Sus scrofa: one gene and its partners. The protein of the gene in region 4 purifies or fractionates together with the protein of the main gene of each other region. This does not show direct contact. Links are inferred from orthologs where the notes say so. Each region holds a gene or a part of one and is shown on either strand. Other genes may lie near its edges. The genes, in order: PLD2, NUDC, ENDOG and DNAJA2.

The links.
Region 1: the proteins of DNAJA2 (region 4) and PLD2 purify together in Homo sapiens (affinity purification with mass spectrometry; 3 studies listed by BioGRID and IntAct, with this or other methods). This does not show direct contact. The link is inferred for Sus scrofa from reciprocal best matches to the Homo sapiens genes DNAJA2 and PLD2.
Region 2: the proteins of DNAJA2 (region 4) and NUDC purify together in Homo sapiens (affinity purification with mass spectrometry; 4 studies listed by BioGRID and IntAct, with this or other methods). This does not show direct contact. The link is inferred for Sus scrofa from reciprocal best matches to the Homo sapiens genes DNAJA2 and NUDC.
Region 3: the proteins of DNAJA2 (region 4) and ENDOG purify together in Homo sapiens (affinity purification with mass spectrometry; 3 studies listed by BioGRID and IntAct, with this or other methods). This does not show direct contact. The link is inferred for Sus scrofa from reciprocal best matches to the Homo sapiens genes DNAJA2 and ENDOG.

What each region holds. Positions count from the first base shown.
Region 1 is NC_010454.4:52,083,794-52,090,977, forward strand, and holds the start of PLD2 (phospholipase D2), read right to left. Parts: upstream 4,012-7,184; 5' UTR 3,849-4,011; intron 3,325-3,848; 5' UTR 3,324-3,324; coding exon 3,215-3,323; intron 3,126-3,214; coding exon 2,995-3,125; intron 2,905-2,994; coding exon 2,762-2,904; intron 2,341-2,761; coding exon 2,235-2,340; intron 2,146-2,234; coding exon 2,080-2,145; intron 1,957-2,079; coding exon 1,898-1,956; intron 1,781-1,897; coding exon 1,688-1,780; intron 1,596-1,687; coding exon 1,443-1,595; intron 781-1,442; coding exon 631-780; intron 1-630.
Region 2 is NC_010448.4:84,235,724-84,243,063, reverse strand, and holds the start of NUDC (nuclear migration protein nudC), read right to left. Parts: upstream 4,370-7,340; 5' UTR 4,262-4,369; coding exon 4,181-4,261; intron 1,798-4,180; coding exon 1,720-1,797; intron 1-1,719. UniProt on the Homo sapiens protein: Plays a role in neurogenesis and neuronal migration. Necessary for correct formation of mitotic spindles and chromosome separation during mitosis. Necessary for cytokinesis and cell proliferation.
Region 3 is NC_010443.5:269,150,776-269,157,799, forward strand, and holds ENDOG (endonuclease G, mitochondrial), read left to right. Parts: upstream 1-3,179; 5' UTR 3,180-3,368; coding exon 3,369-3,875; intron 3,876-5,050; coding exon 5,051-5,160; intron 5,161-6,397; exon of another isoform or gene 6,398-6,666; coding exon 6,667-6,949; 3' UTR 6,950-7,014; downstream 7,015-7,024. UniProt on the Homo sapiens protein: Endonuclease that preferentially catalyzes the cleavage of double-stranded 5-hydroxymethylcytosine (5hmC)-modified DNA.
Region 4 is NC_010448.4:37,589,447-37,596,037, reverse strand, and holds part of DNAJA2 (dnaJ homolog subfamily A member 2), read right to left. Parts: 5' UTR 3,992-6,591; coding exon 3,914-3,991; intron 2,428-3,913; coding exon 2,368-2,427; intron 2,049-2,367; coding exon 1,825-2,048; intron 1-1,824. UniProt on the Homo sapiens protein: Co-chaperone of Hsc70. Stimulates ATP hydrolysis and the folding of unfolded proteins mediated by HSPA1A/B (in vitro).

The DNA of each region.
Region 1 (7,184 bases), on a different chromosome or scaffold from region 4:
CAAGACATGGAAGCAACCTAAATGTCCATCATCACCAGAGGAGTGGATAAAGAAGATGTGGTACATATATACAATGAAATATTACTCAGCCATAAAAAATAATGAAATAATGGTGTTTACAGCCAACATGGATGGACCTAGAAATTGTCAACTAACTGAAGTTAGTCAGACAGTGAAAGACAAACATCATATGATTATCACTTATATGTGGAATCTAACAAAAGGATACAAACGAATTTATTTGCAGAACAGAAACAGACTCAAAGACTTTGAAAAACTTATGGTTATCAAAGTGGACAGATGAGGGGAAGGGAGGGCTGGACTGGGGGTTTGTGATGCAAGTGGTCTAAAATTGGGTTGTGATGCTGGCTGTACAACAATAAAGATAATAAAAGTAATTTTTTAAAAAAAGGTCACAGGAGGTCAGAGAGGTCAGAGATGACCAAGGGTGGGGTTCAGAAAGGTCAGCGTGGTTAAAGAGGTCAGGGGTCAGGGAGATTTGAGAAGTCAAAGGGGAAGGTTATTCAGGTCAGAAGGGGTTACAGGAGATAAAAAGGATCCAGGACTCAGAGAACACCAAAGGGCTCCAAAAGGCCACAGAGAAGTTCAGAAAGGATGTCAGTGTCTCACCACCGGGCCAGGGTCCCAGGCCGGGGTGGAGCGTAGCTCTCATGTCGGTGTAGCTGGATGAAGTCTCTGCCGGGGCCCTGGGCCAGCTCAGTGATCTCCTGGGCCCACCACCGTGCCTGCCGGTAGCTACTGCACTTGAGAATCAGGGACCTGGACAATGAGACGGACCACAACCCTCACCCTCCATGGCTCTGGCCAGGCCCCCAATCCCCCCTTTAGCTATTACCTCTTCCCCACCTCCTCCCTTAGTCCCTGCCTGACTCCACAGGAACAGGGCATAGATCTGCCGTATTCCCAGCTGGGTCTCTGGCACTTAATTTTGTGCCAGCCACTCAGGTTTGGTGAATGAATAAATGAAGGAAGGGAGTGCCCTTTCTTTCTTTGTTTCTTTTTTTTCCGCTCTCTCTCTCTCTCTCTTTTTTTTTTTAAGCTTTTGAAGGCCACCAGCCTACACCACAGCCACAGCAATGCCAGATCTGAGCCACGTCTGTGACCTACACTGTAGCTCACGGCAACCCCGGATGCTTAACCCACTAAGTGAGGCCAGGGATCGAACACTCATCCTCATGGATGCCAGTCGGGTTCGGGTTCGTAACTGGCTGAGCCACAATGGAAACTCCCCGAGTGCCCTTTCTTTTACACCAAGAGTCCCTCCTGCAAGCTTACACTGAACCCCCTTTCTCTGGGTCCAGCCTCTAGGAGCAGTCCTGAGTGTCCAGCTAGAACCTTTCTCTGGTTCCGAATCATGGCCTTAGGGCCCCAGGCTGGCTCTTCACTCAGCAGGTTTCTGTCCACACCAGGGGGGGCCATACCTGTGAGAGGTATCGATCCGGACCCCGTGCCGTGCCTCCGTGCTCCTTTTCCCCACCTGCACCTCAAAGCCAGGGTCGAAGAGCTGAACAAAGGAGATGGCGCCGGTCTCGAGGCACATGTACAGCAGGAAGGAGTCCTTCACCACCAGCCACCTGGAGCGGAAGAGCTCCGACCATTCCTCCGTGTTCTTGGGACCCCTTCCACCACCCCCACCCACGGCCCAGCTGCTCTGCTCAGGCCTCACCTCTTGGACCAGCGGTAACAAACTTGGTCTCGGCCACAGCAGGTGAGGCCAGGAACGCGGTGGCCGCCTGAGCGCTTCCGGATCACCCCCTCCCTGCGGGGAAGACCCGGAAGAGATGCTGAATGGGGGGATCCAGACCCCCAGTCTACCCTATTCTCAGGCCAGGAGGGATCCATCCAGAGGCGGCTGGGGAAGGGGTGTCAGACTCACAGTCCTTTGGATCCAAGGTCTGGGATAAAGGACAGCTGGCTGACTTCCAGAAACTCTGTCTGCAGCGGAAGAAAAAGGCTCGGAGGAGACACTCATCGTCAGCCCCTCAAACCCAACCGACCCTGGTCCCCGTCATCCCGTGCCATCTCAAAAGACCCAGCCCCCCAGCCCCTGGACCTCACCATGGCGTGGTAGTTGCGGTAGAAAGACATGGTCAGGAGGCAGTTGAGGTAATTCTCCAGGTATTTCTGAAGTAGGGATGGGAGACAGAGACGGATGGGACCAGGACCATTTGCACCCCAAACGCCTTCCCAGAGGACCTCCTGTCCAGTCCCACCTGTTTGCTGGATGCATGTCTGGTGGAGCCCTCAGGACCTGCTCGGGGTAAAGAGGGCATCTCTCTGGCAGCCACCTCTCGGTCTGGAGAATAGGCAACGGCAAAGCTGTGGAAAGGATGGCGCGATGAGAGTGGGGAGCTGGGTGCCTGGGTCCCTGAAGCCCTGGAGAGGGGGTTCAGGGGGAGGCCTAGAGGCCGGCAGAAGGAATGCCCCCTACCCTGAGAAGGGAGGCAGAAAAAGGTTCAGGAGGCTGCCAAGGGCATTTCGGGCATCCAGCCCAGCTGGGATGTTGGCCCAGAACCATGGACAGGGTGAGCTGAACAGGGAAGGTTTCCTGGTGACCCGGGTCAAAGGAGGGGACCCAGGGGCCAGAGGTGGGGGAGGAAAGTAGCTGGGGAAAAAAAATGGTTGTGGCCTGGGGATGAGGCAGGCAGAAGGCAGTGACGGGGGCTGGGGGCTGGCAGCCCGGGCTGCCCGAGGTGAGGGGCACCTGCCCTTCCCAGGAGGCAGTCTGGTCCCCCCTCACCGAGCCAGTGGGAGCAGACTCATCAAGACTTTGTGTCTCAGGAGGTCCCGATGCAGCTCTTGAAAATGACGGAACTTCTTCTTGGTTGTCCAGGTAAAGTCGCCGTGAGTCAAGCGGACAGAATAGAGGGTGCAGGTTCCCACCTGGGGGGGGGGTGAGGAACTGAATGCTCATTCCCTGGATGGGTGGCAGCCCCCCACTCCGACCAGCCCTCCCCTGCCCCCTCCAGCCACCTTGGATCCACTGGTGTATCTTTCAGTGCCCACCACCTGGGCTATGACAGGGACCCCAGGGGCAAACACCAGGGGGTGCATTTTCAGGGGCTGGAGGTCGTAGATGGCCAGAAAGGGGTGCATCCGGTCAGCTGGCAGGAAAGAAAGCAGAAGAATGTGGACCCCAGGAGGTCTCAGCGCCCTCCTCCTCCTCTCCTCCGGGGCTGTCGTCGGGGTGTACCTGGGTCCTCTCCCTCCCTCAGAGTGTCCATCTCATCCCGCTCCATCTGTAACTGGCTCGAGTCCAGGTCATCCCCAGACGGGAAGAGGCTCTCGGGGGTCGCCGCCATCCTAGGAATACGGGGAAGCTTCGGGAAGGCGATCTGCTCTGCAGAACCCTGTCTCCCATCCCATCTCACGGTCCTCCGTCTCCCGTCGGTCCCTCATTTCCCCCCACCCGGCTCCCGCTGACACCCATCCTCTCCCTGATAATGGCCCATCGGTCTGCAACGCATCTAATCTCCATCCCTTATCTCGATCCTTCATCCAGAATCCCTGAGCTCCGCCTCCAGTCCCCTAACCAGCGTGCCGAGGAACACCCGGCCAGGCCCCGAAGGAAGGCACAGCAGAAGCCAGGGGAGGGACCCCGGGGGTTGCAAAGGGCCCGGAACCGCCGGGATTCCAGCCAGGCCAAGCCAGCTGGAAGAAGGGGTCCAGGCGGGAATGAGGAAGTTACGCGTCCCCGCCCGGGAGGGAAACCCCGAAATCTGAGCATGGGGCTGAGTCCGGAGGCCCCGAAGCCAGGACCCACTCCCGTTCCCGCCCTGTTTCCCGGGCCCGGGACCTCCGCGGCGCCCCCTCCCAGGTCCCCTCACCCGGGCAGCCGGAGCCGGCGAGGGCGCGGCTTCGCAAGCAGAGGGAGCGGTGCAGAGCCGGAGCGGGAACCCACACCCCAGCGGGCCGGGGCGGGGCGGGCGCTCAGGGCCTGCCCCCGGGGGCGGGCCGGCCTCCGGCCTCACCTCCGCGGGATTCTCGTCCGGCCTGTCCCGCCCCCGCCGCCCTCGGCCCGCCCCGGCGTCCTTGCGCGCTACCGGGGACTGGGGGCCGCCCTCTGCGCCTCGGGATCGCGCAGCAGGCTCCGAGCATCCGCGCGGCTCTGTCCACCCGGCTGTCCCGCGCCGTCGATCTGCACGTGCCGGGCCGCAGCCCTGTGGGCGCTCGGCGCTGCGCACCCTCCTCCGCGCGGGCGCGGGCCCCCGGGGTCCCCTCCGGCCGCCCATCCCGCCTGGGCCTCTGGCCGGACTCACTTTGCAGAAGCGACCGGAGAAATGCCCGGGCCGGCCCAGCTGGCATTTGCAGATGGAAGGAATGATGGAAGCCTTGAGGACTGGTGGCCACTAGTTCATTAACGTACCCAAGTTTTCTTTCATTCATTCCTTATTGCACGCTTGCTCTGCGCCAGACACTGGGCGTACAATAGTGAACAAGACTATCACAGCACCTGCTCTTCTGGAACTTACCGAAGAGCAAACAGGAAAACAGGCTATTTTTCAGGTTACAAAAGACAAAATATTTCATTTTTTAAAAAGTAGATTTATCTCTTCTGGATGGAGGAATGGGTTGATGGATATTTCTTGATAGACATTTGGGTTGTATCTAGTTTTTGTCTATATGACTACAGCTGTTATAAACATTCCTGGGTAAGTCTTTGTGTAGATATGTCTTCATTTCTCTTGGGTAAATAGCTAGGAGAGGAGTTGCTGGGTCATGTAATTGTATTTTAACTTTTTAAGAAATGGCGAAACTCATTTGATTCCTAATTGTACACATTTAAAATATAGAGACAGTGAAGAAAGTGTCAAACGAAGACTATTTTTTTTTTTTTCTAGGGCTGTACCCATGACATGTGGAAGTTCCCAGGCTGGGGGTCTAATCAGAACTGTTGCTGTGGGCCTACACCACAGCTGCAGCAACACAGGATCTGAGCCAGGTCTGTGACCTTTGCTGCAGCTCATGGCAATGCTGGATCCTTAACCCACTGAGAGGGGGCCAGGGATTGAACCTGAGTCCCCATGGATACTAGTTGGGTTTGTTACCACTGAGCCACAACTAGGAACTCCAGGGCTATTTTTAAGTCGCCATTAAAAAGCACTTTTTGGAGTTCCTGTCGTGGCGCAGTGGTTAACGAATCCGACTAGGAACCATGAGGTTGCGGGTTCGGTCCCTGCCCTTGCTCAGTGGGTTAAGGATCTGGCATTGCCGTGAACTGTGGTGTAGGTCGCAGATGCGGCTCGGATCCCGAGTTGCTGTGGCTCTGGCATAGGGCGGTGGCTACAGCTCCGATTCGACCCGTAGCCTGGGAATCATCGTATGCCGCGGGAGCGGCCCAAGAAATAGCAAAAAGACAAAATAAATAAATAAATAAGCACTTTTTTTTGGAGTTCCCATTGTGGCACAGTGGTTAACGAATCTGACTGGGAACCATGAGGTTGCAGGTTCGATCTCTGGCCCTGCTTGTGGGGTAAGAATCCGGCATTGCAGTGAGCTGTGGTGTAGGTCGAAGATGCAGCTCAGATGTGGCATTGCTGTGGCTGTGGCATAGGCTGGCCACTACAGCTCTGATTAGACCCTTAGCCTGGGAACTTCCATGTGCCGAGGGAACAGCCCTAGAAAAGGCATAAAAGACATGCCCTCAGTGGCCTGTGGAAGTTCCTGAGCCAGGGGTCGAACCCACACCACGAAGTTACCCAAGCCCCTGCAATGACAATGCCAGATCCTTAACCTGCTGTGTCACAAAAGAACTCCAAAAGAAAATAACTTTTCAAATAAATGAAATATTTTAAAATGGGGGGATTGCCAAACTGTTTTTCAAATGGTTGTTTTGTTTTAAGTTTCCAGAATCTATGTATGCTGGTTCCAGCTGTTAGGCTGCATGATCAATATTTGATATTTTTAATCTTTTTAGTGTTACCCATGCTAATTAGTGTAAAATAGTACCTCGTTGTAGTTAGTGTTTCCCTGATTAATGATTGACCATGTTTTGGGTGCTTATTGACCATTTGTATCTCTTTTGTTAAGTGTTCAATTCTTGCCCCGATTTTTTTTTTTTTTTTGCTTTTTAGGGCCGCACCCTCAACATATGTAAGTTCCCAGGCTAGGGGTCGAATCAGAGCTGCAACTGTCAGCCTATGCCATAGCCACAGCAACACGGGATCCGAGCCGAGTCTGGGACCTGCAGCACGTTTCACGACAATGCTAGATCCTCAAGCCACTGATTGAGGCTAGGGATTGAAATTGAATCCTCATGGATACTAGTCAGATTCGCTTCTGTTGCACCATGATGAGAACTCTCACTGATTTAAAACAACAACAAAAACATTATTTGTCTTATTATTGTCAGAGTTATTTATATATTTTGGATGGGAACTCTCACTGATTTAAAACAACAAAAACATTATTTGTCTTATTATTGTCAGAGTTATTTATATATTTTGGATGCAAATCATTCATCCGGCATTTACACTGCAAATATTTTCGCCCAGAATGTGGCTTGTTTTTTTAAAAAGTAAAGATGCCCCTAGCCACAGCAATTAGACAAACAAAAGAAATAAAAGACATCCATATAGGAAGAGAAGAGATATGGAAACAACCCAAATGTCCATCAACAGATGATTGGATTAAGAAAATATGGTATATATACACAATGGAATACTACTCAGCCATAAAAAAGAATGACATAATGCCATTTGCAGCAACTTGGATGGAAGTAGAGACTCTCATACTGAGTGAAATGAGCCAGAAAGACAAAGACAAATACCATATGATATCACTTATAACTGGAATCTAATATCCAGCACAAATGAACATCTCCACAGAAAAGAAAATCATGGACTTGGAAAATAGACTTGTGGCTGCCCAATGGGAGAGGGAGGGAGTGGGAGGGATCGGGAGCCTGGGGTTATCAGATACAACTTAAAATAGATTTACAAGGAGATCCTGCTGAGTAGCATTGAGAACTATGTCTAGATACTCATGTTGCAACAGAACAAAGGGTGGGGGAAAAAATGTATACATGTAAGGATAACTTGATCCTCTTGCTGTACAGTGGGGAAAAAAAAAAAAAAGATGCCTTTTGGAGTTCCCTTCATGGCTCAGTGGTTAGCAAACCCGACTAGAATCCATGAGGACTAAAGTTTGATCCCTGGCTTTGC
Region 2 (7,340 bases), about 47 Mb from region 4:
TAGCTTTCCTCAAGAGGTTCTTTTGAGCTGCAATATATTTTTAGATATGAGTAAAACAGATGCTACATTTTTTATAGATAAATAGCCAGTAGTAGCAGCACAACTTATTAAATCATCCTTTGCCTACTGAACTGAATTACCTTACTGGACCCATCTTAAATCCTCATACGTGCAAGACCTTTTTGGGTTCTCTATTCTGCTTCGTTAGTCCATTTGTCTTTTCTCTGTCAGTAACATACTGATGTGATCATTATGACTTTATTCCAATCCATAATTCCTAGCCCCAGACTATAAAAACTAAATGTGCGTTTGTATTTCTCTAAGTTTGTAGCGTGAAGATATTTACAGTCTTCATTATCTCCCACATGGTATAAATATTGATACATATTTCTCTGCGGAAATATTCAAGTTTCATTCCAGGATGCCGCTCCTGACCCCCAGACTGGGGTCCTGCATGTGATGGACAGTATATACTCCGTATGGCCTCCAAAGAGCCAAAGAATTCTATGTCTCAAAATGCTCCTGACCCCAAGAGGTCTGAAAAAGGGACTGTGAACTTGTATTCGCATATGCCAGCCACACTATATTACCTCCTTATATCCTCACAACAGCTCCGTGAGGGAAAGAGCATCCCTGTCTTATAGAAAACCAAGTGAATCGGGAAGTGATTCACCCAACGCTACACAGCTGCCAAGCAGGGAGAGGGGACACCTAGCTCCAGAGCCGAGCTCTTAACCCAAGGACTTGAAAGTGATGTTATCTGGCAGCCCTGCGCACAGTAGGTGCTCAACATAAAGGTGTTAGCGTGTTACCACTGGAGACCAGGTGAGAAGGGTGGACAGGATTCTGCCTGCCTGAGGGTCTGACCAACCTCCTGGGGAAGAGGTGACTCTAAGGAGCACAGCAGGGAGGGTCTAAGAGGGACCAGCAAACATCCAATACGTGGCAGCTACCGTCATCCCTGGGATACTTCTGAGATGTAACGTCTGGATATTGTTCACCTCTCTCCCTTCTGCCTGCTGTCTTACTCAGCCTTCGTACCGCAGGCACCTCTTCCTCAGGAAGTTTTCCTGGAGCCCCCATTTTATGCTCCCAGAACTTGTGCCCTAACACCCATCACTTCTTCACTGTCACACACACACACACACACACACACACACACACAAAACCCAAATCACTTTACCGTATACCTGAAACGAACACAACATTATAAATCAACTAGACTTCGGTTAAAAAAAACAAAAACAAAAAAACCCCCTGCAATTCTCAAATCCTTGAACTTTGGGTCACAAGCATCTGGCAAGACTAGGATTGGTAGGTTTTGATTTTTCCGACATCTGTTTTTCTAAGCTCAGTGTTTTACATTTGCCTGCTCTCATCTCCCAGCTAGGTAATTAGATAAAACCTCCACAGTAGAAAAGAAACCAAGAAGCGTGATGCCAGGGCCAGAAGGCAGTTTTACAACAGACTCTGGTTCCAACCTGTCTCTCATAACTCGGAGCAACGTTCTCCTTTGTAAACGGAGATAGTAACAGCTGCCCCTCTCAAACTGCTAAAGGACCATGGAAAGCAGGGTAGATAAAGCACTTGGCAAGGAAAGGGACTTCAATAAATGACAGTAAATGCTTTCCTTCCCCAACTCTTGCCCTTGGCGTGTTAACTTCTGCGAAAGGTTATTATTATGCCAAAGGAAGGCCAGGTAAGCTCGCCAACACTCACCTTCTCTGCCATCCCCTCTTCTCCTCCAACAAAAAAGTCTGTTTTGCGACGAAGGAAGCTGAAGAAAGTGTTCACAAGCTGAAAGACAGAAGGCAAAAGACTGAAGCTGTAGAGGTGCCATACAGGGAGCCCCTTAACCACACACAAGCAACCTCCTTCACCTAGGAAGGAACTTGGGACTGGACCATTTCAACCCTGAGCCTCCCAACTGGGAAAACATCCCCCCCAACAGCCCTGCCTTAGTTACTTCTGCCAGGAAGCCTAACCTAACCTGATCTAGAGCAACAGAAAGGGAGAATTCTCATTTCTTGTGTATATGCATATGTGTATTTCACATTTTTTGTGATGCTAGAAGCAGCCTGAGGATATGGGGCACTGCATCCAGGTTTGAAATGCCTGGGGCCTAGCTTTCCTCTCCATGTAGCAAAAAGCCCATCCAGAGTGGCGCTGGCTGAGTTACTAGGGCAGAGCTGGAAGGAGAGAACAAAGAAGGCCACTTCAAAGAAGGTTAAGACCCACTAACTCTGGTGTTTTTTTCTTTGAGGGGAGGAGGGAGGTTAGCTACAGAAGCTCCTGGGGCCAGGGATCAAAATCAAGCCACAGCATGGACAACACTGGATCCATAACCACCAGGCCACCAGGGAACTCCAAAACCAGCTAACTCTGGCTGGGTGCATCAGTGCAGTCAAGTTGTTAAGTGCGTCGGTTTGGGAGTTCCCGTTGTGGCTCAGTGCTTATGAACGCAACTAATATTCATGAGGACATGGGTTCGATCCCTGGCCTTGCTCAGTGGGGTAAAGATCGAGCGTTGCAGTGGGCTGTGGTGCAGGTCACAGACATGGCTTGGATCTGGCGTTGCTATGACTGTGGCATAGGCTGGCAGCTGCAGCTCTGATTCAAACCCTAGCCTGTGAACTTCCATATGCCATGGGTGTGGCCCTAAAAAGGAAAAAAAAAAAGAGCATCGTTTTGGCCATTAGATTGATATACATTAGCTCTGTGACCTGGGGACAGTGTCTTAACTCTATGAAACAGAAATAGCAGCAGGACCAATTTCTAGGGATACACGTGAGGATCCTTGAGAGGACCAAAGGAAGACATGCAGGTGAGGTCCTTAATAGCGTCTGGCTAAAGAACCTCGGCCACAGAGAGAGCTCCTCACAAGTAGGCACCATGAACCATGACTCTGTGTACATCCCCAAGGCCTGGCACCAGACCTGGCTCAGAGTGCATGCTCAGAAAACTTTTGCTGAGCAAAAAGATCTAGTGATGACTGAGGGTTGGCACATATAAATAAGCCCTTTTATTTGCCCAAGTGAGAGGTTCTAAATCTGACGCTAGAATTTATCTCAACAGTTTCAATTCCTGCTTCTGGACACTTTTTCAATTCACTCAAAAATGAACTCACTTCCAAATCCAGGTGCAACAACAATTTAGGGGGGTAGGAGAAGGGAGACTTTCACATCTGCAAATTAGTAGCACTCTTCCCACAGGGACCTGAATGAGAATGGGAATGGAAGGCTCCAATGAGACACAGAATCAACAATGGACTGTGGAAAGCACACACTGGCCTAAGGATTCTGGTCCCCTCTAAGCCAGGAGCCTGTTGGATGAGCTTGGGCAAGCTCCTTCAGTTTCTTTAAAGAAAGACTAATCTTGATAGGTTTTGCTACGTTTAACTTTCCATCGTCCAAAAAACCAACTCCAGAATCTTTACTAGTTGGTCCTTATCCTTTTCCTACACATGTTATTGGGTTTGGTCACTAAGCATGAATTATGTTCTTGCACACATCAATTACTCAACAAACACTTGTTGAATGTTCGAGTCTGATTACCGAGAATTCTTCACTGTCCTTCACTTCAAGACACTACTCTCCTACAAATTCAGGAAGTAAGGATTCGTAGCTCTGTCTCAAAGAAAGAAACTGAAGCTTGGAGACATGAAACAGTCCAAGTTGTTAGGAAATGCAAAACACGCCTCCTATTCTCTCATTCAAGATCTAGAAAGACCACGTGTTAATATCACCCCCCCCACCCCCACACATCGCATACATTCTTCCGCTCGCCCCAAGTCTTGGTACATGCAAATCTCAATGCCTAGAACATCCTAAAGGATGTTCTTTGGGGGCGGCCACCAGAGGGGAAAAGGGCCGGAAGCAGGTTGGAGACTAAAGAGGGGGAAGGGATTCCAAGACTCGGGCCTTCCCAGGGGCAGATAAAGGGATGCCAGAGCTGTTAAGATGGTAACTACTGAGGGGCCCCAGGGATCCAGAACTGGTCCGAGCGCAAGACTTGCGGCGGGGAGGCCAGACTAGAAGCTGGGGTGCAATGAGAATGCGGGATCCTAAAGCCCGCAAGGCCCAGGGGTGGATCTCGTCTCTCGAAGGCAGCGAAGGGAGGAAAGAGAGTGGCTGGGCCGCCTGGGTGGGCCAGGCCAAGCCAATGCCGAGCGGGTCGTTACCTCCTGCACGCCTCCCTCGTGCTGCTGCGCCATCGCCAACAACATGCCGTCGAAACGATCCTCCTCCTGGTCTCCACCCATCTTGCCAGCTGCTAGCCACGCTCCGAAATCTGAGCTCTGCTCTCGCGTCCCGCGCTCTCGGCGCCTTCGGGTCGCGTCCGGTGCAACGGTTTCAGTCCTCCGCCTTCCGCAGCGGAGACGGAAACACGCACGCGCCCCGCTGCCTTGGCCCGCCCGCCTGCTCTCTCCTCCCGCCTCCCTTGTGGCCAGCGGCCATTGACCGTGCGGCAAGCAGCCCGCTTCACTGACCATTGGTCGACTTGCTGAGCCAATCAAAGAGCGCGTCCGTGAGCGGTGGGCGGAGTCGAAGGCCTCTGAGTTTGGTGTGAGTTGCTATGGTCACCAGGAACCTTTTGGAGCCTTCCAGAAAACCCTGGGCTCAAATCACGCGGGCCTGAAAGTTGAAAAAGCACAAACTTTGAATTTACGCCTTGAGAGTGACCGCTGAGCTTGTAGAACGGTAAAGCGTTCTTAATCATCTCTTCCAAGTTTTCCATCGGCCAACTGAGGCCCAGAAAGGAGAAGGGAACTTGCCCCAAAAGACAGCCTACCCCTGTTGTCATCACATACTCCATACAAATTGTGCAGTCGCAGGGGACCCGGACTTAGAAAGTCCCTTGGTGCTGGGGTTAATGCTCTTCTGCTGCAGTCCTGAGACTCTTAATATTTTTTAACAAGAGCCCCACCCCCAACCCCGCATTGTCATTTTGCGCAGTTTCATGCAAATTATGTAATGAGTGCTAAATTCGAACTTCACTTTTGTGCGGGACAGACCCCAGCCATCTAAGGCCAAACCCTCTACTTTTGTATTGAATTTCATCATCTTAGTCTTTTCAGGGATTCTACTCTTACTATCCTTTCCTAATTCTCCTGCATCAGAATTTTTTTTTTTCCCTACTCAATGAATCTGCATCACAATTTTCTTTCTTCTGGATCATCCCTTTTAACTTACAAATATACTTTAATGCCACTTCTTTTTTTATTCTTCTATGACCCCCCCACACAAACTTTTCTCCTCCTACCATTCCAATTTTATTTTTTTATTTTTTATTTTATTTTATTTTTTGTCTTTTTGCCTTTTCTTGAGCCGTTCCTGCGGCACATGGAGTCCAATCAGAGCTATAGCCACCGTCCTACGCCAGAGCTACAGCATCGCAAGATCCAAGCTGCATCTGCGACCCACGCCACAGCTCACTGCAACACCGGATCCTTAACCCACTGAGCAAGGCCAGGGATCGAACCCGCAACCTCATGGTTCCTAGTCAGATTCGTTAAGCACTGAGCTTCGATGGGAACTCCTATCCCAATTTTAAAATCTCTTTGACAGCAAAACTTGAAAAAAATTTGCTATACTTGTTTCTCCACTTCCTCACCTTCCGTCTCTCCTCGATTTACTCTGGTCTTTACTTAAGACTCTGACCAAGGATACAATGACCTACTTATTGCCAAAACCAGTAAAGCACTATTACAGTGCTCAGCTTCTCAGCTGCATTTGACACAGTTGACCTCTTCTTCCTTCTAGAAACAATTTTTTCCCTAGTCTTCTGTTATGGATGGAACTGTATTCCTCCATTATTCTTATATTGAAACCCTAACTCTCTTTGGAATTCCCACCGCGGCTCAGCAGAAACAAATCTGACTAGTTTCTGTGAAGACGCAGGTTTGATCCCTGGCCTCACTCAGTGGGTTAAGGATCCAGTATTGCCATGAGCTGTGGTATAGGTCCCAGATGAGGTTCTGATCCGGAGTTGCTGTAGCTATGGCCTAGGCCGGTGGCTACAGCTCAGATTCGACCCCTAGCCTGAAACCTCCATGTGCCACAATTCTGCCCTAAAGAGCCAAAAAAAAAAAAAAAAAAATTAAGAAGAAACCCTTACTCCCAGTGTGACTGTTTTTTGGAAATAGGGGTATTTAAACATGTAATTAGAGTTAATTCATACAGATGTGGCCCTAATCCAAAATAGTTAGTGTCCTTACTAGAAGAGAAAGAAAACCCAGGGACTCACGAGCAAGCGGAGGAAAGGCCACGTGAGGCAGCTATGTGCAAGCCAAAAAGAGAAGCCTCAGAGGAAAGCAAACCTGCCAACATCTTGATCTTGGACTTCCAGGTTTGGAGAACTGTAATAAAATTAACTACTGTTGTCAAGTCAGTCTGTAATAGTTTGTTATGGCAGCCCTAGCAGACTGACAGAGTTTGCACGTCCTCACACTTACATGGTTTTCTTCCCACTTCACTAACTCTCCTTCTCCGTGTTCTGATCTACCCAGGTTTATAAATGTTGGGGGCTCTGTCCTTTACCCTCTCCTCTTTTCCTCTCTATTTATACTCATGGTACCTCACCCAGACATTTCCTGAGTGCCAGGACCATCTCTTTACCTACCTCCTGGACAGCGCCCCTGGACAACTCCACTTGGATAATTAACAGATATTCCAAAACTCATCCAAGGCTGGTGAATGGATGGTGGAAATGATGGCACATCAATGTGAATGTATTTAATGCCACTGAACTATAAACTTAAAAATGGTTAAAATGGGGAGTTCCCACTGTGGCACAGTGGGTTAAGAATCCAGCTGCAGCGGTTTGGGTTACTGGCCCGGGCACGTCCATATGTCGTGGGTGCAGCCCTAAAATGAAAAAAAAGAAAAAAAGTTAAAATGGTAAATGTACTGTTATGGTTTTTTTTTTTTTTCTTTTTAGGGCCGAAATTGTGACACAAGGAAGTTCTCAGGCTAGGGATCAAATCAAACCGCAGTTGCCAGCTGCACATCAGATCCGAGGCACATCTGTGACCTATGCCATGGTGCATGGCAACACTGGATCCTTAACCCAGTGATCAAGGCCAGGGATCGAACTGACATCCTCATGCATACTAGTCAGGTTCTTAACCCACTGAACCACAACAGGAACTCCTGTTATGTATATTTAAACACAATAACAATACTTTTATGAGACAATTTCAAATTTGAACTCTTAATGGATATTCTATAATATCTGAAAATTATTGGAGTTCCTGTTGTGGCTCAGTGGAAACAAACCCCACTAGTATCCATGAGGATGTGGGTTTGACCTGACCCCTTGCAGTGGGTTAAGGAACCGGT
Region 3 (7,024 bases), on a different chromosome or scaffold from region 4:
CCCAAAGCTCTGAGAATTGGCCAGTGAAGCTGCCCGGTGAGGCGGGGTGGAGCTAGCTGAGTCTCCCAGAGGTTCCCCCAAAGGCCCATCTCTCCCAAAGGAAAAGGACATTAATGCGATCCTGTGCTGGGGCTTGGGATCCAGGTGCTTCTGAGGCAAAGGTATTCATTCCTATGGCTACTGGGTCTGGGCCCAGGGCAAGTGAGCCCCGTACAGGGCAAGTGGGACCAGAGGGAGCCTCTCTGGGCCAGGCGGAGCTGAGCTCGATGGCTGGGTGCCATCAGGGCCGGGAGAGCCACGTCTCCCCCAGGCAGGGGAGCTGAAGGAGGTGCTGGCCCTCATGTGGTCACGTGCTTGGGCTGCTCCAGGATCTGGGGCAGGTGTGTCCTGGATAGGAGCAGCTGGCAGTTCCCACTGCTGGGCTGTGGGAAGGGTTGGCTTGTTCCAACCTAGTACCCTCCTCGTTTAAGGAGGCAGGTGGTTTGTGCCTGGAAGGCTGGGTCATGTAGCATGGGGCCTCTTCATCTCAGACTGGCCAGCAGGGGCCCCCAGCCACCCCCCCCCCATGCCTTCCTGAGTCATGGCCAGGATTTGTGGATGGTGGCCAGGAACAGCTTCCCCAGGCAGCTCCTGTCCAAACTGTCTCTTGGATGCTTGTAGGACTTCATGCACTTGCCTTTATGCCTTCTCCTCTTCCAACAAGGTATTTGAGAGATTTTTGCTATTTATTCAGATTCCTAGTTATTTATTGCGATTGGCAAGTGCTCGATTTGATGAAGGGTGGGGCTGGAAGGGTAGAAACAAGTTGGGGTCAGGGTCTTCCACTCTTCCCGCCTCTGGGACCTGCCTGATTTTCCAGGAGGTCCTGGCTGGGAGGACTCTGTGAGAGGACTAGGTGTGAGGGAGACAACAGCTGGGATCCTTGCCAGAGCCCAAGACCCCGGCTCGGGGCAGAGACACGGCTGCCCAGCAGCCTGGCTCACCCTTTTCCCAGAACTTGTTGCTGGTGGTTCAGCCCCAACTTGATCCCTTCACAGCCTGGGGCCCAGCAGACACTGCCCAGGACACCTGATGCATTCCCTCTTGCCCGTCCCTCTGCCTTCCCTCCCGGGGCCCTACTACTTGAATCACTGCATCTAATTTGTCTAAGCGGCAGGACCTGGGTCCCCTGCCCTGTCTTTGATCTTGTGATGAAGGTCAGAAGAGCACAGGGACCATGTCCAGTTTAGGCTGAGCTCCCCAGTGGGATACTGCCCAAGGGAAAAAACTGCCCTTGGCAATTCCCCCTCCCTAGACTCAAGGGAGGTCCCCAGAGAGCCAGAGACCCCCGGGCTTCCTGCTCGGGAAGCTGCCCCCAGGACTTTGGATACTTACAGAATGGCTGTTTGAGTTCAGCTGGTCTCACTCCAAGGGTTAGAATGTTAGTCTGCTTTTGTTTTTTCATTTGTTTTGTTCTTTGAATCAGTGCTGTTGATGACAAGTTGTCTTTAATAAATCATGTGTTCTTTGCAGTGGGCGTTGGTTCTGGGATGGGCTGGAAACCTTTGAGACCTTGGAGCTGGAAAAAACAGTTGAGCAGGGATGACGTCAAGAGGCTTTCAGAGGAGTTCCCATCGTGGCACAGGGGAAACAAATCCGACTAGGAACCATGAGGTTGCGGGTTCAATCCCTGGCCTCGCTCAGTGGGTTAAGGATCCAGCATTGCCGTGAGCTGTGGTGTAGGTTGCAGACGCGGCTCAGATCTGGCGTTGCTGTGGCAGTGGCGCAGGTCAGCGGCAACAGCTCTGACTAGACCCCTAGCCTGGGAACCTCCACATGTCATGGGTGTGGCCCTAAAAAGACAAACAAAAACAAAAAAAGCCTTTAGAGTAGGCAGAAGAAAAGGCTAGGAAATTTTTGTTGGAAGAGCATGAGCCACTCTTCTTTAATAACTGCAGTTTGTAGCTGGGGGAGAGGAGGCTGTACTGGGGCAGAAGGTGTTATGTTGTGATCGTAGCAAGTTACTTATCTGTTAATTTGCCGAAACCTTCGGCATGCGGAAGTTCCTGGGCCAGGGGTTGAACCTGCACTACAGCAGCAATCAAGTCTTTGATAACCCGTAGTCTGGAGAAAATCACTGATAACATGTTAGTCTTCTTCCCAGAGGTAGATTTTTGTGTGTAATTGTCACCTTCCTCATTTTCTTGTGTATTGTCTCACCCCTCAGGTTAGGTGCTGAGCAAGTTGCTGTATGATTTTAAAATATTTTAATGCACTATATACTATTTTAATATGCTAAAAATGTCTGAAACCAGTTCCTATGTCTGACTATTTTGCTTATTCCCCAGCCTCTATTATGAGTAGTACTGTGGGGAGTGTTCATGTTTGAAATCATTGCATTCGAGGTTTATTCCCCCAGCTCAGTCCTCTAAGTGAGTTAGAAGGTATGAACCTTTTTACGGTTTTCATGCAGACTGCCAAGCTGCCTTCCGGAATCCAGCCAGCAGTTTGTAATACCACCTGCATGCATCGCGGTCCTCACGCTGGGTGTTAAAATCTTTGCTGGAGTTCCCGTCGTGGCGCAGCGGTTAACGAATCCGACTAGGAACCATGAGGTTGCGGGTTCGATCCCTGCCCCTGCTCAGTGGGTTAACGATCCGGCGTTGCCGTGAGCTGTGGTGTAGGTTGCAGACGCGGCTCGGATCCCGCGTTGCTGTGGCTCCGGCGTAGGCCAGCGGCTACAGCTCCGATTAGACCCCTAGCCTGGGAACGTCCATATGCCAAGGAAGTGGCCCAAGAAAAATAGCAAAAAGACAAAAAAAAAAAAAAAAAAAAAAATCTTTGCTAATCTCCTAGAAATTTTTTGCCTTATCTTACGATGTAATGGTTAGGAGCATAGACTCCAGTGTCGTTCAGACCTGGAGTCTTGTCCTTGTTCTCCCTCGGCGCTCTTGATTAAATCGAGTCATAATACAGGCAGTGTAGACTAGTGCTTGACAGGTCTCTGGAGCTCTTGAAGTAGGACCTCGGCACTGACGCAGAAGAGGTGGGGCGGGGCGGAGCCAGCCCTGGAGCGGCCAGTCACGAGTCGAAGCGGCGATGCCACGCCCTCTCAGGGCTCCCTCTTAAAAGGGCAAAAGGCACGGGGAGGTCCCGTAGGGCCGCTCCAGACCCCCACTGTTGGAGTCCTTTGCACTTTGGGGCGGGCTTTGAGTGGGCGGGGCCTACGTTCCGCCGTCCAGTGCCTCCACCCGGCGCAGTCCCCGCGGTGGGCCCCGAAGGCCTGCGCGGCTCCTTTAAGAACTCGCGGGTCTGACGCCGGAGGTCGCGGCGTTCTTTCGGAGCTGCGGGCCGAGTGCCCTCCACAGCTCAGGCCAGAATCCACGGCCATGAAGTTACTGCGGGCGGGTTTAACCCTAGCGCTGGGCGCCGGGCTGGGTGCAGCCGCCGAGGGCTGGCGGCGGCAGCGGTGGGACGCACGGGAGGCGCCCGGTTTGCTAAGCCGGCTCCCCGTGCTGCCCGTGGCGGCGGCGGCCGGGCTTCCCGCCGTGCCCGGGGCCCCGGCGGGCGGCGGGCCCGGCGAGCTCGCCAAGTACGGGCTGCCTGGGGTAGCGCAGCTGAAGAGCCGCGAGTCTTATGTGCTGTGTTACGACCCGCGCACCCGCGGCGCCGTGTGGGTGGTCGAGCAGCTGCGGCCCGAGCGGCTCCGAGGCGACGGCGACCGCCGCTCTTGTGACTTCCATGAGGACGACTCAGTGCATGCGTACCACCGCGCCACCAACGCCGACTACCGCGGCAGCGGCTTCGACCGCGGCCACCTCGCCGCCGCCGCCAACCACCGCTGGAGCCAGAGGGCCATGGACGACACCTTCTACCTAAGCAACGTCGCGCCCCAGGTAGCGCCTGGGCCCCTCGCCCCTGCGGCGGAAGGCGAGGCCACCCACTGCGCGCCTTCGAGCCTCAGGCTCTCTGCAAAGCGGGAAAGCTGCCGAGGGTGCGCCTAGGTCAGGCGCCTGGCGAGTCACACCGCGCCGCAGGCGGGAGGGACCGAGGGATGGGGCGCTGAGCATCCACTCTGCACTCTGATCTTAACCCCCGGGGGCCTCCCAGATCTTCAGTTTCCTTGTCTGTAAAATGGGGATAAAACGGTTACTCACCTACCCCTTGCAGTAGCGCTGAGGAACTGAAAACACCATTCAGGTACAGAAAAGTACTGAGCACGCTTCCTGGCCCATGGCAAGCGGTCAGTACCAGCTATCATGAGGAAAGCGAGTCTCAGACACCGAGTGACCGGCCCAGTGTCACATGAGGGAGGAGACCCAGGCAGTCTGTCTAGAGGAACCTGAGCTTTCATCCATTGTCCTATCTGCCTTCCTTCCAGGAGTGACAGCAAAGATCCCTGCAGGCACTGGGTGTTCGTAACAGTCACTGTGCACCCTGGACTAGCTGCCCACCTCTAGCCGTGTTCCCATCCTGGCCTGACACGCATGTGAGGACGGATGTCAGGCTCTGATGAAGCTGTAGGGTCAGCTGTAGCCTCTGACCTGACTTGTGACCTCTCAGGAGCACTGTGCCCTCCCGGTTTGATTAGACACTGTCTGAGGACCAGAGGGTTCAGGTTCTGGAGCAGACTCATGACCTTCCCGGCTGGGCTCTGCCTGTGGATCAGTTGAGGGAAAAGGCAAGGAGAGGTGCCCAGAGAGCTGGTCTTCCCATGAGGCCCTGGGGGCGGGGCCGGCCTATTTCTGGAAGATCTGCCCCTTTCCTTCATATGGCTCTTTGGAGCCAAGAGACATTTGTGAGTCCTGGGATGCTTGTTCGGCCCTTCTAGATGGGGTTATGCTGGCAACCCCTCGAGCTCTACCTGGGCTCCACCCTCATGACCATGTGGCCCAGGTGTCTTTCCATCCATGAATCTGTTTCCTCTGCTTGTCCTCACCTCTCCCCTGCCCCCCCCACCCTGGAATCTTCTGGCTTGGTGCCAATGCCCCACCCTCAGGGCCTGGAGCAGCCCTCTGACAGCCTTGCAAGTGTCCCGGCCAGTCTCACTGAGGCCCACCTCTCCTGCCAGGTGCCACACCTCAACCAGAATGCCTGGAACAACCTGGAAAAGTACAGCCGCAGCCTGACCCGCACCTATCAAAATGTCTATGTCTGCACAGGGCCGCTCTTCCTGCCCAGGTAAGGTTAGACCTGGGGACACCAGCACTGCCCACTCATCCCTTCCTGATGCCCCCAGGCTTTTTATCCACACCACCAGGTCTCGTGGAGTTCCCGCTGTGGCACAGTGAGTTAGGACTGACTGCAGTGGCTTGGGTTGCTGTGGAGGCACAGGTTCAATCCCCAGCCCAGTGCAGGGGGTTAAAGGATCTGTGTTGGGAGTTCCCATTGTCACTCAGCAGGTTCCAAACCGACTAGTATCCATGAAGATGTGGGTTCAATTCCTGGCCTCACTCAGTGGGTTAAGGATCTGGTGTGGCTGTGGCATAGGCCGGCAGCTACAGCTACAAGTTGACCCCTAGCCTGGGAACCTCCATAGGCTGCAGGTGCAGCCCTAAAGAAATCATTTGGCTTCTCAGCATGTCTGCCCCTCCCTGCCTCAGGCCCTCCCAGTTGTACTCCAAGGTCGGAGGCCAAACCCACCTACCCACCTAGACCCCGTGTCCTCTGCCCCTGGGCACCAGGCCCCAAATCTGCCCCTGCTCCTTTCTGGGTCTTCAGTGGTCCCATCCACTCAACTGTGTCCTGCCCAGACTGAAACCCTTGCGAGAGGCGCTCACCTTCACTCTCCTCTGCTTGGAGCAACCCCCCCCCCGCCCCTCGCTTCCCCTGGAGCCCGGCTTTGAACTCCATGTCCCTAACCCTTGTCCCCCCACAGCCCAGCCTCCCCCAGGTAGAAGGGACCAAGCTCCTCTGGGCTCGCTCGGTGACTTTTCTGGCCTGCTGAGGGCTTGGGACCAGTGAGGCGAGAGGTTGTGGCCAAGCAGCTGGCTGTGCCTGGGATGGACTCTGGGCCCTGCCACCTGGTCTCTGGGTGCCCTGGACAGGTGACCTCCACCTTCTCTCCTGTAAGATGGGGATAATGCCTGCTACCTACATAGCAGGTGTTTAAGGGACAAAGTGGGTGTCACCCACTTTAAGGGAGGGAGGATGCCACCTCAGGAAGGCTCACCGTGGGCTTGCTGAGGCGGTGGCTGGGGCACAGATCCTCTTTAATGAGCCAGGGCCTCCCCTGGTCCATGGTCATGGAGCAGACTCTGGGGAGGGTCAGCCTGAAGTTGCCCATCCCACATTCCGGGCACCTGTCATGCCCCAGGCCTCTGCTGGTGCCAGGGATTCAGCCGTCACAGCTCTGCTCCCTTGGCGCTCACTCGCCACCAGAAGAGACGGTCAATCATCAGGTGTCCACACGGATGAATGTGGATGTTTCTTTCTGCAGTGTTTATTGTCACCACACACTCTGGCTGACCCAGTGCTGGGTGTGAGGGAAGCAGGAGAAGAAGCACGTCTACCCAGCAGGAAGCACCCAGCCTCCTGGGGGAGCCAAGCCCGGGGCCAAGAAGCCTCACTCTGTAGGGGCGGTCCTGCAGGTCCAGTCAGGGAAGGCTTCCTGGAGGTGGAGGCCCTTGGTCAGACCAAGCTCCCTGGGAGCGCTGAAAGGCCATGTATGTCTGGGTCTGCCCACAGGACAGAGGCTGACGGGAAGTCCTATGTGAAGTACCAGGTCATTGGCAAGAACCACGTGGCGGTGCCCACCCACTTCTTCAAGGTGCTGATCCTGGAGGCAGCAGGCGGGCAGATCGAACTCCGCTCCTATGTGATGCCCAACGCGCCCGTGGATGAGGCCATCCCGCTGGAGCGCTTCCTGGTGCCCATCGAGAGCATCGAGCGGGCCTCGGGGCTGCTCTTTGTGCCGAATATCCTGGCCCGGACGAGCAGCCTTAAGGCCATCACTGCCGGCAGCAAATAAGGGCCGCCCCAGCCAGACTGTGGGGTCCTGGGGACCAGGTTGAATGAAAGGTATTTATTTTTGGAGACAAGTCTT
Region 4 (6,591 bases):
AGGTAAAACTGTCATTCTCATTTTATAGGACAAAACTGAGGCACAGTTGAGTAACTTGCCCAAGATCACATAGGCAGTCTGGCTCCAGAGTACATGCTCTACTGGAAGGTTTTCCCCCTTCAAAGACAACTGAGAAAAGCTACAAAGTTATATTATAATTTATGGGAGGCACTGAGATTGCTCATGGCTTTAAGAAAACTGGCCTTATCTACAGTGTAACAACATAAGAGGTTTACAATAGAAAGCCTACAAGTTTTAGACATCTGAAACACCCAGTGAATTATAAATAAAACTGTATAATTGAGCAACTTTTACAAAATTTTCAAAAGAAGTCTATGACCTCCAAAAAGGTCAAGTTAAAAAGCCTGTTAAAACTGTCAGGTTCCCACTGTGTCTCAGAGGGTTCAGAACCCAACATAGTCTCCATTAGAACGCAGGTTCCATCCTTGGCCTTGCTCAGTGGGTTAAGGATCTGTGTTGCCACAAGCTTTGGCGCAGATCACAGATGCAGCTCAGATCCAGTGTTGCAGTGGCTCTGGTGTAGGCCTGTCTCTCCAATTTGACCACTAGCCCAGCAACTTCCATATGCTGCCAGTGTAAGTACTGTAGCACTTGCTTTGTGGTATTTGAACTTTCTCAAAATTGTTACATTAAGCTAACTCTTTTATACATTGTAGGCAGTTTAAGAATAAAACATTTAGGGGTCAAAACAATAGCAGAACTTCCAAACAATGGTATATATAGATCTTAGACCAAAGCACTTGGTTGCATATGCCTTTTATATTCCTCCTAAAACCTTTAACCAACCATTTATATGATAGGTAAGTCTTTTCTCCTTTACATGTTACATTTCGATTAGTATATGCAACACTACTATCAAGAGGCCAGAAAAATCTTCATTTCAGTAAACACAGCAAAGGAAAGAAAAATGTGGGTAATGGTCTAGCGAAGCTGGCACTCTCCACCAGTGAGGCTCAACGGGCACAATCCTCTACAAGGCAATTTAGTTGCATTTATCAGCCTCAAAACAGTAAGGCCTGCCCAAGAATCACTACCAAGGAGACAAAGCTGTATATAAAGATATAGCACTACTTATTATAGAGAAAAACAGGTAACATTCTATAGAAAAGGGAATGAATAAATCATGGTACCAAATATTATAAAGCTACCCAAAATGAAAATGCTGTAATTAATAAAAGGAGAAGTTTGACAAATAACGTTTTACTCCCTCTTACCTACTCAACTGCACAAACTAGATAAACTATTATTAAAAACACTTGAACTTCAGTCTCTGGTATTTGCTCCTAAAACCATTACTGGTTCATGAAAATTAATGAGATAAAACACGTCACAAATTTTGCAAAGTAAAACAGTTATTTTCATATTGGGTTCACAGTCTGAGATCAAGGACAGACACCATTCATATGTTGGCAGGTTAACATCGGGCTCGAAGCCAGCAAGCTCCGTGGAAACCAATTTAGGAGAGTTCACACTGAGGATCAAGTAATGAGTGACTGTAACATGTCAACTAACTAGCCAGCCAGTCCCTCACTCTGTAGTTTTTATATAAAGTTTAAATACTTCAAAGAATTCACAACTGAAATTTTAAAAACAAGCAGCCTCAGAAGCATATACCAAAACTGTCTTCCTATTCTGTAAAAACACCAACCACCCTTCAAGATCTGTTAGCAAAGTGCCAACATCCAAATGGAAGATTTTTTTTCTGATGGAAAGAATATTTTTTGATAGCTTTTCTCTCTTCTACTTGGAAAAAAAAAAAAAGCAATCAGTATTTTTTTTTTAAAAAAGAAAAAAGATATTCACTTGAGTGGATGCATCATGTCTTCTCCTTTTCTTCTGCCATTTCGACTTCTGCTCTGATTGCCCATGAAGCCAAATAATCCCCCACCAAAAATGTGAGAGAAAATATCATCCATGCCACCACCTCCACCGCTACCTTCCCGAAGACCTTGTTCTCCATATCTGTCATATAACTCGCGCTTCTCAGGGTTTGATAGTACTTCATATGCAAAACTTATTTCTTTGAACTATAAAGAAAAAGAGGAAAACAACTGGATTTTTCAAATAGAATACTAAGGAAAGGCTACAAAAATCTAGAAGTTATTTAATTCCAAGAAAAGCTACACGTTACCTTTGGTTTGATTCTGGTCCTATTTACTACCTACTGATGCCCAGAATGTTAGTTATTTCCAATATAAAACCAAAGCACTCTTAACATAAAAAATTAGGCTCTACGGGCATAGATGGACTTTTCTTACAACATTCTCATTTTTTCCAAGAAGGGCAATTTAAGCTTAAAATTTTTTAAGGGGAAACCTCAGGGGAAAAAAGTCTCAAATGACTTACTTTGTCACCAGCATTTGGATTCTTATCAGGATGGTATTCCTTGGCTAACTTTCTGTATGCCTGAAGAAAAGATTGAAAAAAAAAAAACACAAAAAAACAAAAAAACGGTTATAATGTAAAGACCTGATTAAAGATTTGTATTAACTTCATAACCAATTTTCTGAGAAGCAATGTTCAAAATCATAACCTTCTAAAAACATCCTTTATTCATTGGTATTGGTTGGGCACCGAAAGGTCTCAATATTGTTTACTCAAATGTAACAAATCAGAATAGTTATATTGGAAAACAGGTTATAATGAAGCTGGAGACAAACAAACTAAGCCACAGAGAAAAACAAAGTACTGAAAAATTCCATTATTTTCACTATTGTCAAATGTGTTTGACAGCCAGTCACCAGACCAAGAAGACTGCGATAAACTCTAGAAGTACTTGTTAAGCTTTACACCCTGCAAAACATTATTATTATTAGAATTAAGCTAAGGTAAGAATCCCGGCTCATAATGGCTCCTCTAATTGTAACATCAAGACAAAGGCAAGACAAGCTCCTAGGTCATGCTTTTCCTCTGGTGGACTGACCGCAGTGTTACTTAAGTTGCATACATTTGGGTGGCATGAGATATAAAGCACTTAGGCGTTCATTCACAGACACATGAATTATGTAATACAGAATAGCATTTCCGGTAAGGTAACAGGAAGTCCTTTTACTCTCAACTGTACCCATCCCACTGCCTAAGGAGCATTCTCATTTTTCTCAGCTTACAAATCCGGATACTCTAAACCCCGTGAAGATGCTGTGCGGCTTAATCAAATGCCTCACGTGCTCTGAAATCCTGAGATGAAAGATCTCGTAGCATTGCAAAGAACGATAATGAGGCCTGCCGTTTATTTTTAGTCAGCATACACTTAGGTGTTTGGCTGGGACCCACGGCTTCTTCCTGAAGCAGGTACGGATCATTTAGGTTACCTGTCCACAGAACAAAGCACCCAGACACAGACCAATGAGCAAAGCAGGAAGAGAGGAAAAAAATCCTGCGGACCGGCTCCTAGGAAACAGCCCCAAGTACCCGCAGACACCCAGCGGGGGTGGCCTCGACCCTCCGCCAGGCCCCAGATCTGCCCGGAATCGGCTCGGGCACCGACGTCCGCACCCTGGACAACTCCTCACCCGGCGCCGAGATGCGCTGGGCGCCTCGGTCCAACCTGTTTTTCCGGGGTGGTGACCTCGGCGCGGGGAGAGCCAAGCAGGCAGTAGCCTCCCGGGAGAGCCCGGCCTCCGGCGCCCGCCGGGGGAGGGAGGAAGGAAGCATTTTCGTCGTGTTTGCGCAGGGGTGGGTTTTATTTGCTGCATCTGCGGGCGGGCGGGGCCCGCGGCCCAAGGTCAGCTGAGGCCGGAGTGCGCGGCCGCAGCAGGCCGGTCTCGTCGCCGGCCCCCAGCCTGGGCCCGCCGCCGCCGGCTCGCGGGCCGCCCCGCGGCGCGGCCTGGCTGTCCCAGCGGAGCAGGCCTGCGCCCCTCACGCCCTGCCTGGCCGGACCGCTCCCCAGTACCTTTTTCAGCTCGTTCTCGCTTGCGCCGGGCGGGACGCCCAGGATGTCGTACAGCTTCGTGTCGGCCACGTTCGCCATGGCGGCCGGCCGGGCAGCGCTCAGGGAGGAAGGCGGCGGAGCAGGCGGAGCGGAGCCGGGCCCACAGCGGCGGCAGCGACAGCGCAGGCGGTGCGAGACAGCGAGGGGGAAGCGAGGGGGCGGGGCTGAACTTTGGCCCGACGCACGGCGCGCCGTGACGTCACTGCGCGGAGCCCGCCCCGGGCGGTTGTGGGGGTCGTGGGGGCCGAGGGAACCCCGCTTGGTTCTGGCTTCCTCAGAGGCTCTGAGTCGCGGGGCGGGGTCTGGCTTCAAAACCCGGAGAACTAATTCTGCTGGGCGATCTCCAGGACTTCAGCTTTCTCCAAAGGTGTTTAAGGGGGTGCTGGAAGGGTGAAGAGGCCCATGCGGTCCATGGCCGCCCCCTTGATCAGCTTCGAGTACGGCGGTAAAGTTGGAAAGTTGGTCCGTCCCACAGGGGTCGTCCTAACAATCGAGATGTTTCAGGTGGACCCTCTGGATCTGGTTCCTTCTGGTCTTACGATGAAAAACACGTGTGTGTGTGTGTGTGTGTGTGTGTGTGTGTGTGTGTGTGTGTGCCCTGTGTGTTTCATATTAGGGTATTTTCAAACATTCCCCAAAAGAAGTGTATTATTGTCAATTTTGTTTCCTCTGTTACCACCTATACTCCCTGCTTCCAGTGTCTTACGGGAAACCATTTCGTTTATAAATACACCAAGTATATGTCCGACAGATGACCTACATGCAATGAATTCCTTTGTCTAATTCTTAGCCCACGTTTAGATTTTCGCAGTTGTCTCATGTCCTGTCATAATTGGTTTGTGGCATCTAGATCCACAGTTCCCACCCATTGTATCTGGATCAGGTATTTAAATTTTTTACTTGGTAGCTTTAAAATTAACTATCCAGAGATCTAGATGGTAGCAGGCAGCCTGGTTGGGCGCACAGTCATCTGGTGATTGTCCCCGTGATTTATATTCGCCTCAGAAAATGTTTGCTGTGCACCTACCACGTGCTAAGATGTATGGACGCCTGGACTGGGGGAGGGGAATGTTGCAAAATAGTGAACCATAGTACCTGCCTTCAACTCACTAGCAATTTATGGAGGCAGAAGAAATAAGATGTCCTGATCCTTTGGAACCTGAACTGGTAATAAAGACTCCAACATAAGCATCTAGCATCTAGTTTAGGATAATCCCTTCTCCTTGGCGTTCCTCCAGACCTCGTTTGGAGGGCCTTGAATGTCATGCCAAGGAGTTGAAGTTTATCCTGAAAACCCCGGGGAGTAATTGATGTGAAGTCATGATGCTCCTTTCACCTAACTCCCATTTTTGTCAAATCCTATCGAAAATGCAGCTCTTTCAGTGAAGTTTTCCTTGATTCTACACCCTAGTGAACATTGCTGTCTCATTTGTGTTCCCACTACCCTTGGCTAGTGTCTTTTGTGGATAGATCTGATGTAGGATTTGAATGGTATTTTGCTGTGAGTCTGAACTCCATTAAAAGGCTGTAGGTTCCTTAGGGAAAATTCACTCTTCTGTTTTTTGAATGCAAATGGTCTGGTTTGAAAAGTAAAGGCCTCAATAATTTCAATTTGTTCACTTCCTTTTCACATTTTGAGATGTTCATAAAAGGCAGTATAAAGTTTTGAGTTCAGTAAAGGCCTCAATAATTTCAATTCCCCCACTTCCTGTTCACATTTTGAAACATTCATAAGAGGCAGTATAAAGCTGTGGTGGAGTTAGAGTGTGTGGGCTGGTGCCCTGGCTCTGCCATGTATTATCAATGTGACCTTGAGCAAGTTACTAAACTTTTCTGAAGCTGTTTTCTCACCTATAAAATGGGATTCAATAGTATTTATATCATTGGCTGGCTTTGAGGATTAAAAGTTACTACATGCAGAATACTAAAAACAAGCTAAAACCAACTGTTTTTTTTTTTTGCCCATTTGCCTATAAGCTGTCTCCACATCTCTAGTGATTATCTTTATTTAAATTCTTGGATCCCCAAGTGGGATTCATCAACTTCTTCCATGTGGATTACCCCTCAGTCCTTTTTTGTGATCCAGCTCTCCCTGCTTGCCAATTACCATATTCTCTTCTTCCATCAGTTCCTGCTCCACATGAAAATATAAACTGAAAACTTTGTTTTTACTGCAACCTTCACATCATTTATTGTTTTATTTTCATCTTATTTTCTTTTTGTTCGTAGTCAAAAAGAACTGAACTTTTCTATTTGTTTCAGTTTTACTTAATTTTTTTTTTTTTTTTTTTTTTTTTGGCAAGGGTTTTCCCTTGGTTCAATTTTAGCTTCTGTTTTCTCGTGAAGAATACCTGGGTAAATTCCCTCCTTTGCTCTAAGTTATTTTTTTACCTGACTCTGAATCAGTCACCACAGTTCATACTTTTATAGTTTTCATTTATTTACAATATTTTTTCTGTTTCTGAGTGTTAATTGTAGTCAGCATTGTCATTTGCTAATGTTATAGGTCGAGAAGTTATTTCAGAACAGTTCTATGTGCTTCAACTGACACATGCTCTCCTCCCTGTCATCATATATTGAGTCAGTGTTAGTGTGAGCACTCTAACATTTCAGCCACTGACTTTGTGTTTTTAAGGTAG